2 linked regions of the Notamacropus eugenii genome follow. The protein of the gene in region 2 interacts with the protein of the main gene of each other region in a pairwise test. Links are inferred from orthologs where the notes say so. Each region holds a gene or a part of one and is shown on either strand. Other genes may lie near its edges.

What was found. The genes of interacting proteins can lie anywhere in the genome.
Region 1: the proteins of KASH5 (region 2) and GPATCH4 interact in binary tests that used the Homo sapiens proteins (3 or more experiments, as listed by UniProt). The two-hybrid records come from large-scale screens. The link is inferred for Notamacropus eugenii from reciprocal best matches to the Homo sapiens genes KASH5 and GPATCH4.

What each region holds. Positions count from the first base shown.
Region 1 is NC_092873.1:380,745,533-380,752,954, forward strand, and holds the start of GPATCH4 (G patch domain-containing protein 4), read right to left. Parts: upstream 3,053-7,422; 5' UTR 2,863-3,052; intron 1,463-2,862; 5' UTR 1,397-1,462; coding exon 1,318-1,396; intron 1-1,317.
Region 2 is NC_092876.1:12,584,678-12,592,016, reverse strand, and holds the start of KASH5 (protein KASH5), read right to left. Parts: upstream 3,009-7,339; 5' UTR 2,971-3,008; coding exon 2,783-2,970; exon of another isoform or gene 2,701-2,782; intron 1,947-2,700; coding exon 1,840-1,946; intron 1-1,839. Other genes in the region: DKKL1 (dickkopf-like protein 1), read right to left, coding at 7,028-7,321. UniProt on the Homo sapiens protein: As a component of the LINC (LInker of Nucleoskeleton and Cytoskeleton) complex, involved in the connection between the nuclear lamina and the cytoskeleton.

The DNA.
Region 1 (7,422 bases), on a different chromosome or scaffold from region 2:
TTCCCTCTTCCCCAGTTCAGTTCCACAATCTCTCCACAATCTTCAGATGCTCCTGACTCTGTAGGCCACTGTTTTCCTGTATTGTAGACAAATTTCCTGCATTGATGTCTAGAACCCATTCAGATGGATCATGTGTCTTAATCTGTCTGTGTCTTAGGGAGCTTACAACTACAGGAGGGACCAGGATTGTGCCTCTCCGACTCTCCCTGTAGGAAGAATGGCATGGGTGGCAGCAGTGGCATCATCATCACCATCCTCATCATCGCTAATGTTTAAATAGTGCTTACTATGTGCTTTACAATTATGGTCTCATTTGATCCTCTCAACTACCCTGGGAAGGAGATGCTCTTATGAGCTTCATTTTACAGAGGAGGAAACTGAGGTAAACAGGAATTAAGTGACTTGCCTCAGGTTCACACACCTAGTAAGTATCTGAAGCAGGATGTGAACTCAGGGCTTCCTGACTCTAGGCCCATAGCTCTATCTACTGTGTTGCCTAACTGAAAAAATGCCAAACTTAAGAGTAACCTCTTTGTCACGTCTGATCCTGTGTCACCATGGACAAGTCACTTAGCCTTCAAGGGCCTCTTTTTGCCTTACCTACAACCTGGGAGTGATAATACTACTTCATGTTACCTACTCTACCCCAAAGTTGTGATCAGAGAATTTTGACGACAGGAAAGTATTATAGAAATGTGATCTTTTGTTATTAGCTTAATGAGATTCTTTCCTATTATATAGGGTATCCCAAAAGTCTTAGTGCAGTTTTAAACTCTAAAAACCTAAAGTCTATAAGATGAATAGTGTATCTTTTCTCTTTCCTCCAAATTGCCCTCTACTGCCCAGGATAGGGCTTTGCCCACAAGGAATACCAGAGGCAACTAGGTAGTATAGTCCATACAGCACTGGACTTGATTCAAAAAGAACTGAGTTCAAATCCTATTTCTTACACAAATATGGAACCCTGGACAAATCACTTAACCTCTCTGCCTCAGTTTCCTTAACTGTAAAATGGGTAACTGTTATAGGCACCTATCTCACAGGGCTGTTGTGAGGACGAAAGCACTGTATGTGTGCTAGCTTATTAAGTCTCCTTTCTGATGGGTCTTTTCCCTGTCCCTTTCTCATCTACTCAGTCTCTTACCCTACCTTCATTTCCCATTCAGAATAGTTCTTCCTCTCCCAAATTCTGCCTAAGAACTAAGGTGGTTGTGCTAGTAGGAATTTCTTCCACAGCCCTTGAGTACTAGAAAGCAAGACTGGGGGTCTGGGGCTTTTCCAGGGAGAAATGGAGTACAGTCAGTCAGTAGGTATTACCTTGAATCCATCCATGCTTCTGCAGCTGCTCCTCAGCAAACTTCATCCCTCGACTCTTGGTCCCTGAGGTGACGCTCATGTTGAGAAAAGGATTAGTCTCTGTCCTTAATGTCTCACCAGTTCAAAAGTGGTTACTATTATCCCTCTGAAAGAAAAAAAAAAGCAGGCAAACCTACCACTCCCCATCTGGTTCTACTATGAGCAGAACACTGGCCTGGTTTCTGAACTGATCTAGACACAGTAAGAGATGTGGTTCCAGTTCTTTAAAAATAATTTCCTATGGACTGGGGACAGTTGGAGAAATATTTTGAATCACATGAGCATCGTTGGACTAAGCATAAAACCTCCAAAAGGGACCAGTGTCAAAGGAATCCCCTTCATTTGGACCTATCAGTTGCTTTAACAAGCAAACACCACCTTAGTCACACCTGAAAAGACGTGACAGCCCTGGGACTGCATCCTCTTTGGTCTCCTTGAAAAGATCTCTCTCCTCTGGAGAGGATCTGCCTCTACTTCAAAGGGGACACTCCATCTCTAGTCTCTGCATCTTTGCCCTAGCTGTCCCCATTACCTGGGGTATTCCACACTCTCCCTTCTGCCTCTTAGTGTCTCTGGCTTCCTTCAAGACAGCTCCAATCCTACCTTCTGAAAGGGGCCTTTCTTGGTCTCTTTAGCTAAGGCCTTCTTCCCCTTTCTGACTACCTCCTGAATATCGATCTTCTAAGTACCTAGATATTTACAAATACTCAGCCTCATTAGACAGTAAGCTCCTTGAGGACAAAGACTGTCTTAGGGATTTTTTAAAAAAATATATATCCCCAACCCTTAGCACACTAAGTAGGCACTGGATAAGGTCTGACTCATTGAAAGTAGAAGTGTTTAGTCCAGTGCCCCCGGCACGTAATCAGCATTTAATAGGAAGCGGAGACGTCCGCTTTGCTTTTATCCCCCGCACTTAGCACCAAGCCTAGCACGGAGCAAGCGCTTAATAAGCGGTTACTGATGGATTCCTTGGGGGCAGAGCCTGCTTCTGCCTGTCTCGGTACCCCGGCGATCAGCACCGTGCCAGGCGTGAAGGCCCGCTGACTGACGCCCGCGCCCCCCTGCACGGCCCGCCCCGCACGGCCCGCGCCCCCCTGCACGTCCCGCACCCCCCGGCACGGCCCGCCCCGCACGGCCCGCGCCCCCCTGCACGGCCCGCCCCGCACGGCCCGCGCCCCCCTGCACGTCCCGCACCCCCCCGGCACGGCCCGCCCCGCACGGCCCGCGCCCCCCTGCACGGCCCGCCCCGCACGGCCCGCGCCCCCCTGCACGTCCCGCACCCCCCGGCACGGCCCGCACCGCACGGCCCGCGCCCCCCTGCACGTCCCGCACCCCCCGGCACGGCCCGCACCGCACGGCCCGCGCCCCCCTGCACGGCCCGCGCCCCCCGGCACGGCCCGCACGGCTCCCCTCCCTCCGCAGGCGTCGCCAGCCCTTCGGCGATCTGATCCCCAGCCCTCGGGCTGCAGATCCCAAAGGGCAGTCTCCAGCCTCCACGTTTACCTGCGCCTCTGAGCACCTCTTCCTCCCTTCCCGTGCGCTGGCAGCTTCTCTCCGCTGAAGGGAGCCGCTCACAGGAGTGTCAGGGGCCGCTCCCCAGAAACACGCGGAACCCAACCGCTGCGCGGCGCCATGTTTCCGGAAGGGCCGCCTTCGGGCCCTTGTAGCCTGCAAAGACCATGGAAGGAAGCGCGTAGACCATAGAGTTCCGGTCCTCCGAGGGGAGGAAGCGCCCGACCTCTCCCGGAAGCGGGCTGGAGCTCGGGTTGCTACGGAAACGCGAACGCTTTCAGGCTGCGTTTCGAAGCTGATTACGTGTGTGGTGGGACGTATGAAGGGCAAGGGTCGTCCAAGCCCTCCCCGTCCTCCGCACCCCCAGCCTCTTTTGAGTAAGAATAATAACAGCTCGCTCCATAACAGGAAGTCATCCAAGTCTTGTCAGCATCACGGTCCAGATTTTACACGTGGCCGAGAAGGCAGAGTGGGGTCAGAAAGACCTGAGTTCCATACTTAGCTGTGTGGCCCTGGGCAAGTCACCTCAGTTCTTAAATGCCTCAGTCTCCCCATCTGTAAAATGGGGATGATAATAGTCCCTACCTTACAGGGTTGTTGCTCAAAGGTCATCTAAGCGAAAATATGTAAAGCACTATACAATGCGCCTATTATTATTACAGTTTGGAAAACTAAAGTTCGGAGGAGTGGCTCAATGAAAAATCATTTATTAAGTACTTAACACGTGCCATCCGTGCTAAGCCCTGGGGACACAAAGAGAGGTAATGCAAGTAGCGTGCATTCTAATGGGAGATAACATATAAAGAGGAGCTGGAAGCGAGGGGGGAGCCATGTGCAGCATCCTGGTTTAGAATAGCTGAGAAGTGACCGTGGAGAACGAGCTTGGCACCTAGGAGCCCAAGTCCCAACGGGAGGGAGATGAGACTATGGCTCCTCACAAAATTAATCTGAGGGTTGGAAAGGAGTCAATTAATCCGGTTGGTTGGTTGTCCTTCGTTCTTGAAGAGGACCAACATGACATCACCATGATAAAGTAAAATTTCAGTGTGGTCTGACTTGGCTGATCAGAACAACAGGAGCTCAGAATGCTCTACCACAGGTCGGGCACGGGTAGTCCGTGTGAATATTTGGGGTGGATACCCAAAATTTGCGCATCCTGTGTTTACTTTGTGCATCCTATGTTTACTTTGTGCTGTCTCAATTCTTCTTTGCTCATAGAGTACAGCACCCTATCTGATATGGGCACGCCATTCTGAGCAGTCCTGTGCCAGTGTCTCCCATGTTGCACAGTCAAATCCAAAGTTCTTGAGAGAGACCTTCAGAGTGTCCTTGTATCGCTTCTTCTGGCCACCATGTGATCACCTACCCTATGTGAGTTCTCCATAAAATAGTCTTTTTAGCAAGCATATATTTTGAATTCAGACAATGTGACCAGCCCATTAGAGTTGTGCTCTCTGAAGCGTAGTTTGAATGCTTGGCAGTTTAGCGTGAGCAAGGACTTCACTATCTGGTACCTTATTCTGCCAAGTGATTCTCAGAATCTTCCTAAGACAGTACAAATGGAAGCGATTCAGTTTCCTGGCATGGCACTGGTAGACTGTCCATGTTTCACAGGCATACAACAATAAAGTCAACCCAACAGCTCTGTAGACCTTCAATTTGGTAGTCAGTCTAATACATCTTCTCTCCCGAACTTTTCTTCAGAGCCTCCCAAACCCTGAGCTAGCTCTGGCAATGCATGCATCAACCTCATTGTCAATGTGTACATCCCTGGAGAGTACACTACCAAGGTAAGTGAACTCATCCACAACATTAAAAACTTCTGCATTTGTTGTAACAGATGGTTCCATGTATGGATGGTGTGGTGGTGGCTGATGGAGCACCTGTGTTTTCTTGATGTTAATTATTAGGTCAAAATTAGCACAGGCAGCAGAGAATTGATCCATACTTTGTTACATCTCAGCTTCAGAGGCTGCATTGAGTGTACAATCATCTGCAAACAGAAAATCATGCACCAACACTCCCTCCACTTTGGTCTTGGCTTGTAGCCTTTTCAAGTTGAAGAACTTATCATCATTATGATAGTTGACCTTAATGCCTGTGTTCATCCTTATTGAAAGCATTTGACAACATGGCTGAAAATATCATGCTAAAAAGCATGGGAGCAAGCACACAGCCCTATTTCACTCCATTGGTGACTGGGAAGGCATGTGAGCATTCTTCACTATGCAGAACCTGGGTAAACATGCCATCATGAAATTAACATACAGTATTGATGAATTTCTCCAGGCAACCAAATTTTGATATAATTTTCCATAAGACCTCATGATCAACGGTGTCAAAGGCCTTGGTCAGATCTACAAACATTGTATATAGATCTCTGTGCTGCTCCCAGCATTTCTTCTGGCGTTGTTGGACAGCAAACACCATATCAACTGTTCCTTGGCCCTTTCTGAAGCCACACTGGCTCTCAGGTATATGACCATTTTCCAGGTGAAGGATCAGCCTATTAAGGAGGACTCTAGCAAGAATTTTGCCAACAATGACTAAGAGAGAAACCTCCCTGTGATTGTCATAGGACAATCTATTCCCTTTACCTTTATAGGGATGGACAATGGAGGCATCCTTGAACTCCTGGGGGATAACCTCCTCTTGCCATATAACCTGGAAAATTTCAGTCAGCTTTTGTATGAGCAATGGTCCCTCTACCTTGTAAATCTCAACTGGAATAGTATCAGCACCAGGTGCTTTGCCACATGAAAGGATCCTAATAGCCCTCAAAACCTCTTCTTCAGTTGGAAGTTCAGCTAAGGAGGGATTGACTTCAACCGGAGGTAAATGGTCAATGGCCTCAGCATTGATTGATGATGGTCTGTTGAGAACATTATGGATGTATTCAGTCCATCTCTCTAGGATCATGTCCTTATCACTAATCAATGTGGCTCCATCAGCGCTGAGAAGTTGTGCTGCACCATAGGTTTTTGGTCCATAAATAGCTTTCAGGGAATCATAAAAGTGCTTTAAATTGTTGCTATCAGTATAAAACTGAATTTCATCTGCCTTCTTACTGAGCCAGGGTAGACACCCCCCTAACTTACCAATGGGTTTGAGACTCCTTGGTTACCCTCAACTTGGTTTGGCCTGTCTGCTGAAATGGTTTACCAGGGTGTGGCCACTGTGCATGCTATAGCTTCTTGGAGCCACACGTGAGAGTTGAGTGGTACAGGTGGACACCAAAGGTGGAAAGAGCCCTGAAAAGGGCTTGGCAGCCATCATACCAAAGGTAGTGGTCCTCCCTAAACACACCCTACACCCCAGTCAGTTAATCTGTTCCATAAAGAAAGAAATCCTCATTACAACATACCTGACAAGGGATTGCCAAGCCTGGACTTGAAGACTTCCAAGAATGGTGAACCTATCACCTTTCAAGGTAGCACATTCTGCTTTTGAACAGCATTAATTGTTAGGAAGTTGTTCCTGAAAAACAAATGTAATTTTTTTTTTTGCATGTAATTGGGGAAAATAAAATGGAAGGAGGAAGAGGAGGAAGGAGGGGGAAGTGATGGGGTGCTTGGTTGCATGTGCTTTGGCCTCGATTTTAAAATCACATTTCTCTTTAAAAATCACATTTCTCCCTAACCTCAAAACACTATCCCAGGCAGTTTCTCCCCAGCCCAAGGACACAACTTGTCCTAGCAACAACCGTTATCTCCTTTCCTGCTCTAGTAGCCAGCTGTACCTATAGCACTCATTAGTTTGAACCAGCTGTGTACTGGTTTAACGGACTGCGTACTGGGTCATAACGACATTTACTACTCACTGACCTAGTACCCTAAACTTAGACATACGTATACTCTCTTACATTTTTCTTGTCTAACAAGACATTGATGAGAACAACCTGGTATTTCTGAGCCAGCCCTGATGTTGGTTGACTTAGTGATATTTCAGGCCTAAAACCACACCTCCAGGTAGCCCCTCCTTGAGTTATTTGCTGATGAATTTTGGATAAAATACCTGTGCAATAGACACCAAAAGCGCATGTTCCTTTAAGAACTGACCACTCCTTAACCACTCCCTAATCTCAACCCGAAACACCTATAGAATACCCTATATAAACTTTCCCTGTACCCCTTTAGGGTTGCAGGTTCCCTAAGAACACTTGCCCACTGAAAAGCATAATAAATTTTTATCTTGACCTCAACAAAGCTTGAGTCCGTGAATTCTTCTCTAAACGACCTGGTACCCTGGTCTTTGTGGGGGGCTCTCATATCCCTCTTCCAGCCCTCATCTGAAGGAGGAGGAGAAGGAAGAGAAGAAGGAGAAGGAGATGAAGAAGATTGTTCCTGATATGAAGCTGAATTTATACAAATTGCGATTTATACAGATCACTCCAGGTTCCACCCTGTCAGGCTAAACAGAATCCCTTCTCCATATGACATCTATTCAAATATTTTAACTAAGCCATCATGTCCCCCAAGAATCCTCTCTTCTCCAGCCCCCAAATGTCCATTCTTATGTAGGATTATAGGTTTTAGAGCTAGTATTATTAGT
Region 2 (7,339 bases):
CATCTGTGATTCCCTGCTATCTTTATGACATCTAAATTGGTTGGTGCTTTCTTAGAAGACCTTCGTCTATTTACATGACATTCTTTTTCCCTTTTTATCAGAAATGTTTCCCTTTGTATCTTCAGAACTTCATTCTTAGGAGCCTGACAGCCCTCCTGGACCAACTACAGAATTTTATGCAAAGACATGCTACCTATCCTATACCTACATTTTTGACCTGCTCTTCCAAATCTAAAGTGTCACACTATACCTTGCTTTCTTCTCTGCTACTACAAATTCTGAGGTGGAACCTCCCCAGGGTTGCCCCTATTTCAGGGTTGCCCTCAGTTTGTGACAATCACTTCCAGGATAGCACTTCCCCTCTGGTCCAGCAGCACCCACGTCGGCTTTGGTTCAGACACTTGACAGGCAGAGACCCAGCAAAGATGCTCCCTGAGCTCCTCTCCCCCCACTCCAGGGGTCAGGGGGCTTGGGAAGCATGGCTAATGTGGACTCAGGAGCCTCCTGCCCCACCCAGCTCAGGCCTGCAGTCTCTGGACCACCTCTGCAGGCCCAGGGCTGCTTACACCTAGATAAACTCCCTGGTCTGAGGGGATCAGCGTGTTAGTGTTAGAACTGGAAAGGGGACCAGCCATAGGCATTTAGAGCTAGCCTACATGCCATTTTACAAGGAAAACAGATCTTTGCGTGGTTAAGTGAGGTTAATCTGAGAGGTTAAGTGGCAAGGTCACAGCCAGCAAGTAGAGAGATAGGACTTAGAGCCCAGGCCTTCTAACTCTCAGAGGTTTTGTTTCCACTGGACTTCTGCAAAGTGAGCTGGGAAGGTGATAAAATTGCGTACTCACCTCTCTCTCTACAAACCAGGCTCCAACCCCTGAAAACAACCTTAAGTCTTCCCTGGTTGGAATGGGTTACTGAAGCTGTCCAGCACACAGGCTGCTTTCCTGGGTCACTTTTAGAAGTCCCCCCTTTGGCTTTGGGTACCCCCTCCTCCTTGAGCCTGTGGCCTCCCACCAGCAATATGACCACAGACTTTGCTCTTTTCACCTCTGAGCCCATCCCCCAGAATGCTGCCCATCACAGGGTGGTGTGGGAGAACCTGGGAGGCGAGAGGCTGGGAACCACTAGTTCACTTTGACTCCATAGGACCTGGACACAGATCCTGGTCAGCATCTGGGCCCCACAAAATCCCTGCCCTTGGCACACTTCCCAAGTTCATCCCCTAAACACTTCCTCCTGAGACTCATTAGAGGTTACTCCTTAATTTACATGCCAGAGAAAGTAACTTGCTCACCTAAGGGTAAAAATGTTTTGTTTGGCTCAGAAGGAAACTGGGATTCAGCCAAAATAAGGTATGAGCCCAAGGTAGCACAGTTCAAAAGAAACAGGGCCAGGATTCTTGGAGCCCCTGGCTTGGACCCCCAGTCTCCAGCGGTACCACCCTGACCTCATGGGTCCATCTCCCACCTCTAAGCCTTTGCTTCACCTGGCCCTTTCTCCCTGGGGTCTTTCTGGATCCTGGCCCTCGCCCATACCCACACTTCTGCCTTAGTGCTCTGCCCTTCTCACCACCTGGAGAAGAGCCTCCTCTAGAACCGTCCTCTTTGGGGAGCAGCACAGTCAGCTGCTTCATTCCTCCTTCTGTTTCCTTCCTTCGAATCCCAGAGCTGACTTCCCTGCACCATCCCCACCTCGCACCCCGCCTCAGACCCCATCGAGCTGAGTCAGCTGCCTCCCTCCACCTGTTGGGACAAGTCCCTTCTGGGATCCTGAGGTCCCGTCACTGACCCCCACCCCCCCGCCCCCCAGTCCCACCCTGGGAGGACACGAGTTACCCACTTTCTGAAGTCAGGCTGGCGGGTCTGGGCACCTGGCTCTCCACAGTATCCATTGAACCTGGCTCCTGAGCCTCAAGAGGGGAAGGGGCTGATGCCACCACTGTTTCCCTGGAAGGACAAAGAGCAGGACTGAGGCTTGAAACCAGCCCGGCCTGTACCCCTCAGTCTTCCATCTTAATTATGGCCTGCTGGCCTCCGTGGAACCAGATCATTATCCAGAGCCTGTTCTCCCTTGTGCCCCAAGTGCCCCAGAGCACTTGGGCCAGGCCTCGCTGGGGGTGGGGGGAGCTCAAAGGCCCTGGGGTTCTTTCACGTATTGATTGGGGGGGACCTCAGGGGCCTCTTTCTTAAGGGGTTGGGAGGGGAGGTCACCTGCCAGGGTTTGGGAGACACTCTCCTTCTAAGAGGCTGGGGGGCTCTCTGGCTCCCTACTCCTGTAGGGTTGTGGGGGGCCATCCAAAAGAATCCTTGAGGTCTCCAGCAACATTCAAGGTCTGATATTTGGGGCCTCTCTCTGACTACATCTGGGGGGGGTATCTTAAGAGGCTGGGGGATTTTACCAGCACTATTTGGGGCCCTTTATAATAGAACTAGAGGCTTTTCTGACAGGCTCAGGGGCCCTTTCTCACAGATTTGGGGGCCCCTCTCTGACAGTATCAGGGTCCCCTTTCTCACAGAATTTGAGGGGCCCTCTCTGACAGACTTGGGGTCCCCTTTCTCATAGATTTGGGGGCCCCTCTCTGACAGACTTGGGGTCCCCTTTCTCATAGATTTGGGGGCCCCTCTCTGACAGTATCAGGGTCCCCTTTCTCACAGGGTTTGGGGGGCCCCTCCCTGACAGGCTCGGGGTCCCCTTTCTCACAGATTTGGGGGCCCTCTCTGAGAGGCTCGGGGCTCCCTCTCTCCTCGGCCGGCTCAGTCACGGTGGGGAGCTCGCCCCTCACCCTGCTGCCCGCCTTGGGCTTCGACAACTGGCAGGAAGCTGGGCCGGAAGCCTTTCCCGCCAGAATGAGCGAGCCCCTGCCGTCGAAGCCGCAGTCGTGGGTACGCATGCGCCTCGGGCGCCCCTCCTCGAGGCAAGGCGCAGGCGCAGGAGGGAGTGCTCGGCAAACCGTTGGCGAGCCATGCGCATGCGTCGTGGCCAAGGCTTGCGCCTGCGCAAAGGCCCTCCTTCGCCTCTCTCCCAGTCCAGCCCGAAGGAGGGCGGGGAAAGAATTTCTGTTGGGCCATTTGGGGCCGTCAGTATCCCCGCTTCTTCCCCTGCCCCCTCCCCCAGCCAGGACCCCCATCTTGCCTGGGCCTAAACCTTTCCAGGGAGTCTTCAGGACACTTGAGTGCTAAGCTTAGCACGGCCCCCCCAAGACAGAGAATCACCCCCGCCTTACCTTGGGGCGTACGGGGTGGGGGGTGGAGAAGGGGGGAATCAAAGGGGGAAGGGGGCTCCCCCTTCTGGCCTACCCAGCTTCCTGCAGAGCCATCCACAAGCGACACCTCCCCAAATTCGCACCCTGCCCCTTTAACAAGCAGCCCCTAACTCCCACTCACCCAATGGGTCTGATTTCCGGGGACCCTTTGGGAATAACGGGAGTTTTCCCAGCCTTTGTTTCAACAGTTCCACAAGCATTCCCCACCCTCCGTCTCCCCTCAGCCTCTGGTTTCATTGGCCACACGAGATCTGGTGAAGAAGCTGGGGGTGGCTGGGGGGATGGCCCCGGGGGAGCCCGCCGGGAACCCTCCTGGTGCGGGCATCAGCCTCAAAAAGGGTTAAAGAAGCCAGAAGGTCTGCTGGGATGCTGGCTGGGGTGCTGACCTGATGCCGGCTGGGGTGCTGACCTGATGCCGGCTGGGGTGCCGGCTGGGATGCTGGCTGGGGTGCCGGCTGGGGTGCTGACATGATGCCGGCTGGGGTGCCGGCTGGGGTGCTGGCTGGGGTGCCGGCTGGGGTGCTGACCTGATGCCGGCTGGGGTGCTGACATGATGCCGGCTGGGGTGCCGGCTGGGATGCTGGCTGGGGTGCTGACATGATGCCGGCTGGGGTGCTGGCTGGGGTGCCGGCTGGGTACCACTTGTGCCAGAGAAGCTGGAGCCGGCAGGCTGCACTGTGGGGACATTTCCCCTTCCTCCTTCCAGGTTTAGGTCCCCGAGGATCATCCTCCTACCCCGAGAAAGTGAACAGATACGTTCAACAACAGGGTTGGGGGTGGGGGAGGAACTTTATCTCTTCAGGTATTATTCTTCAGCTTTACATTGCAAGATAAATGGGGTTTTTTTTGTCAATATGCTGAATGTGAATTCCTTGGGACCAAGCTGAACTCCAGTTGGATGGAGCATGCGTCAAGAAATGTATTATTGGAATATCTCTACATCATGGTCCACTCAGAAAGCACTAAAAGAGGCTGGGAAGGTGAGACTGCTAGGTACTTTGTGCACCCACACAGGTGGGAGCTGTGGAAACTAACTTTGAGCATCCTCTGGTGGCCAAGCCAGTTATGGCACCTCAAACAGCTGTTCCAAGCCATACCCTTTAATGCTGGTAATTGTAAAAGACTCTTCTTGTAGGACACCAACTATTCTGTAATGGGACAAAATGTTTCACAAGGCTCTCTTAGAGGGCTGGCTGTCCTAGGGACATGACAGCGGATAACCAAGGGCACTGGAGATGATCTGAAGATTTTATTTCTATAGGGTCACAAATGATAAGGACCACTAGGCACGATCCATTATAACGGGCAGGAAGTGGGGTTGGAAATAACTCACATTCTAATGCATTGTAAGATTTACAGAACACTTCCTCCAATACCCTTGGCAGGTAGGTAGGGCAAATGAAGTTTTGTGCTACCCAGGAGATGCATTATTAGGTCAGGAGGATGGAAAGCAAATGACCTTACCTTTTTCGTTCCTTTAGGTTAGAAAGGAATTTTCTGATCCTGAATCTAAGACTTGGCATTAACACCAGACACAAGCATTCTAAACAACAGAAGATCTTAGAAAAGGGCCACTTTGACTGGCTTTTTATTTGGCTGTTCTTAGCTAGGTATGGTGATTTCCAGCGTTTAGCTCTGGGCTATATATAAAAAAGCTCAGCCTGCCCCGGTCAAGGAGAGGCTAACTAATCACTGCACTGAAGATAGGAAAGCCAGCAGCTGCCCAGCAAGAGCTGAAATACAACCATACAACTGGGGAGATACCTAGCAGAGCAAGTATTATCTCCTGAGAGAACTTAGGCAGCCCTGCAAAACCATAGGTTGAGAATGGCTCTGGCCCCAAGGGTTTCTGGGGCATGTACCTTTTCACATAGGTTCTCTTTATGTTCCCGTTTATGTGCCCTGGTCTCACTTCTGTGTTATCTTTCACCACTGGTGCAGTAAGCTATGGGAGACTGTATCCTTCCTGTATTTTCTTAAGTTATTTTATTCTGAACTAATGCATTTACTTTGCTAAAAGTAAACAAGTCAGTCTGTGGAGAATCTGGAGCTGTGGTTTTGACTGGGTGCTGTGACCCAGTCTACCCTGCTCTACCCTGAGGTCATTTTTTGTTTGTTTTCTAGAGAGACTGAGAGGGAGTGTCTCAGATCCTACACCTGGTGTGTGCGTTCATCCTTCGTTGAAAGAAGACCATGCCATCAGAGAAATGATGACATGACTTGCACTTGACTTTGTTTTGAGTGAGGGAGGGCTGTGCAGGTCACCAGCCTCACTTCTCCGCTAGAGTCATCTGAATCCAGTGACCAGATATTCATCAGGATGACTGGAGATGACCCAGGATGAGGCAATTGGGGTTAAGTGACTTGCCCAAGATCGCACAGCTAGTGAGTATCAACTGTCTAAGGAGCATTAGGTGGTGCAATGGGTAGAGTGCTGGGCCTGGAGTCTGGAAGACATCTTCCTGAGTTCAAATCTGGTCTCAGACTTTTTTTTAGGGGCACTTAGGTGGTGCAGTGGATAGAACACCAGTGCAGGAGTCAGGAGGACCTGAGTTCAAATCTCACCTCAGACACTTGACACTCACTGTGTGACCTTGGGCAAGTCACTTAGCCCCAATTGCCTCATCCTGGGTCATATCTCCAGTCATCATGATGAGTATCTCTGGTCACTGGATTCAGGCTCTGGAGGAGAACTGAGGCTGGTGACCTGCACAGCCCTCCCTCACTGAAAACAAAGTCAAATGTAAATCATGTCATCATTTCTCTGATGGCATGGTCTTCTTAGGCAACAAAGGATGAACCCACACCTACACCTGGTATCTTCTGGCTAGAGGAAAACTTTAATCTCTGTTGGGGGTGTAAGCTCAGTTTTCACGTGGACAGTGTCGGGCAGGTAAAGGTGAGGACTTCTAAACCTCAGAGTTCTTATGAGGCCCCCCAGGGAACAGCTGGGAATTGAGGCATGAAACACGGGCTATCTCGTGCATTTCCACCTCTTCTCAGTGGGAAACTTGCTGGGGAGAGCATCCCACCCTTGAGATTGGCCCGTGGTCTGAGCACACCTGTTGTTGACTAGCTAGGGGCTGAGAGCATGCATGGTATCCACGTGCAAACTATGCGGCGGGAGAGCTTAAGTAGGGACAGGAAAGCCTGAAGGCGCTCTTCGTGCTGAGGGGCCCTTGGAGGGAAGAGGGTCCCCCCCTCTTCTGCTCCCATCCTCTTGCTGTACGATCCTTGCCTCTTGGGAGGAGGAGGATTCCTCTCTCCTGAGGAAGAATTCACCCTGCACATGTAACTAAGACCCTGAATAAAGCCTAACCCTTGTTCGACTCTGGAAAGTCTCTTCTCTCAACACGTTTATCCGGCTGATCTCCGAAGACCTGGACGACAGGTAAGAAAGGCTCGGGTAGCCCTTCGGCCTCTAGGCTGAACAAATCTCCTTATGCTAATTTTACTTATGGTGAAACTGACAATCTGAGAAGTGACTAGCCCAAAGCACTGGAGGTCAGACGAGAACTCAAGTCTATTGATTTCTATCTAGGAACTTTCTCTACTTCAGGTTGCAGTGATGGAACAGGAGAGTAGAGACAGATGAAAGAGCCCAGGGCCTTGCTATGACCGAGACTGGCCGGAGATGACAGACAGCCTTGATGCTGTTTTCACTGAAGATAGAACTTTTATTTATTTTCGAGGGGATGGAGGGGCCGATGCAGGCATCCTCACCTCTCATCTGCCCTCAGCCTGCCTCTTTGCCAACCCTGGAGCCTACAGCTGCCGAGGGGGCCTTAGGAAATAGAGAAAATGGGCCCTGTGAGGCACAGGGCGAAGGCGCAAGGGGGCTTCCTCGTGGGCTCCCTCCCGAAGTCCATCCCGGATTGCCTGAAGCCGATGACGCTTCTCACTGACCCAGCGGCTCCCAGCCCGGCTTTCAGTCCGGGTCATCCGACGTGGAAGGCTGATTATCCAGAAAGCCACTTTGGGCTGTGCCTCGGCATGGGAGCTGCTCAGTTCATTGCTTCGGAGTGTCTGGGCAGGTTCATTCTCCTCCTCATCAGTTGCCTAGAACCACAGAACCAC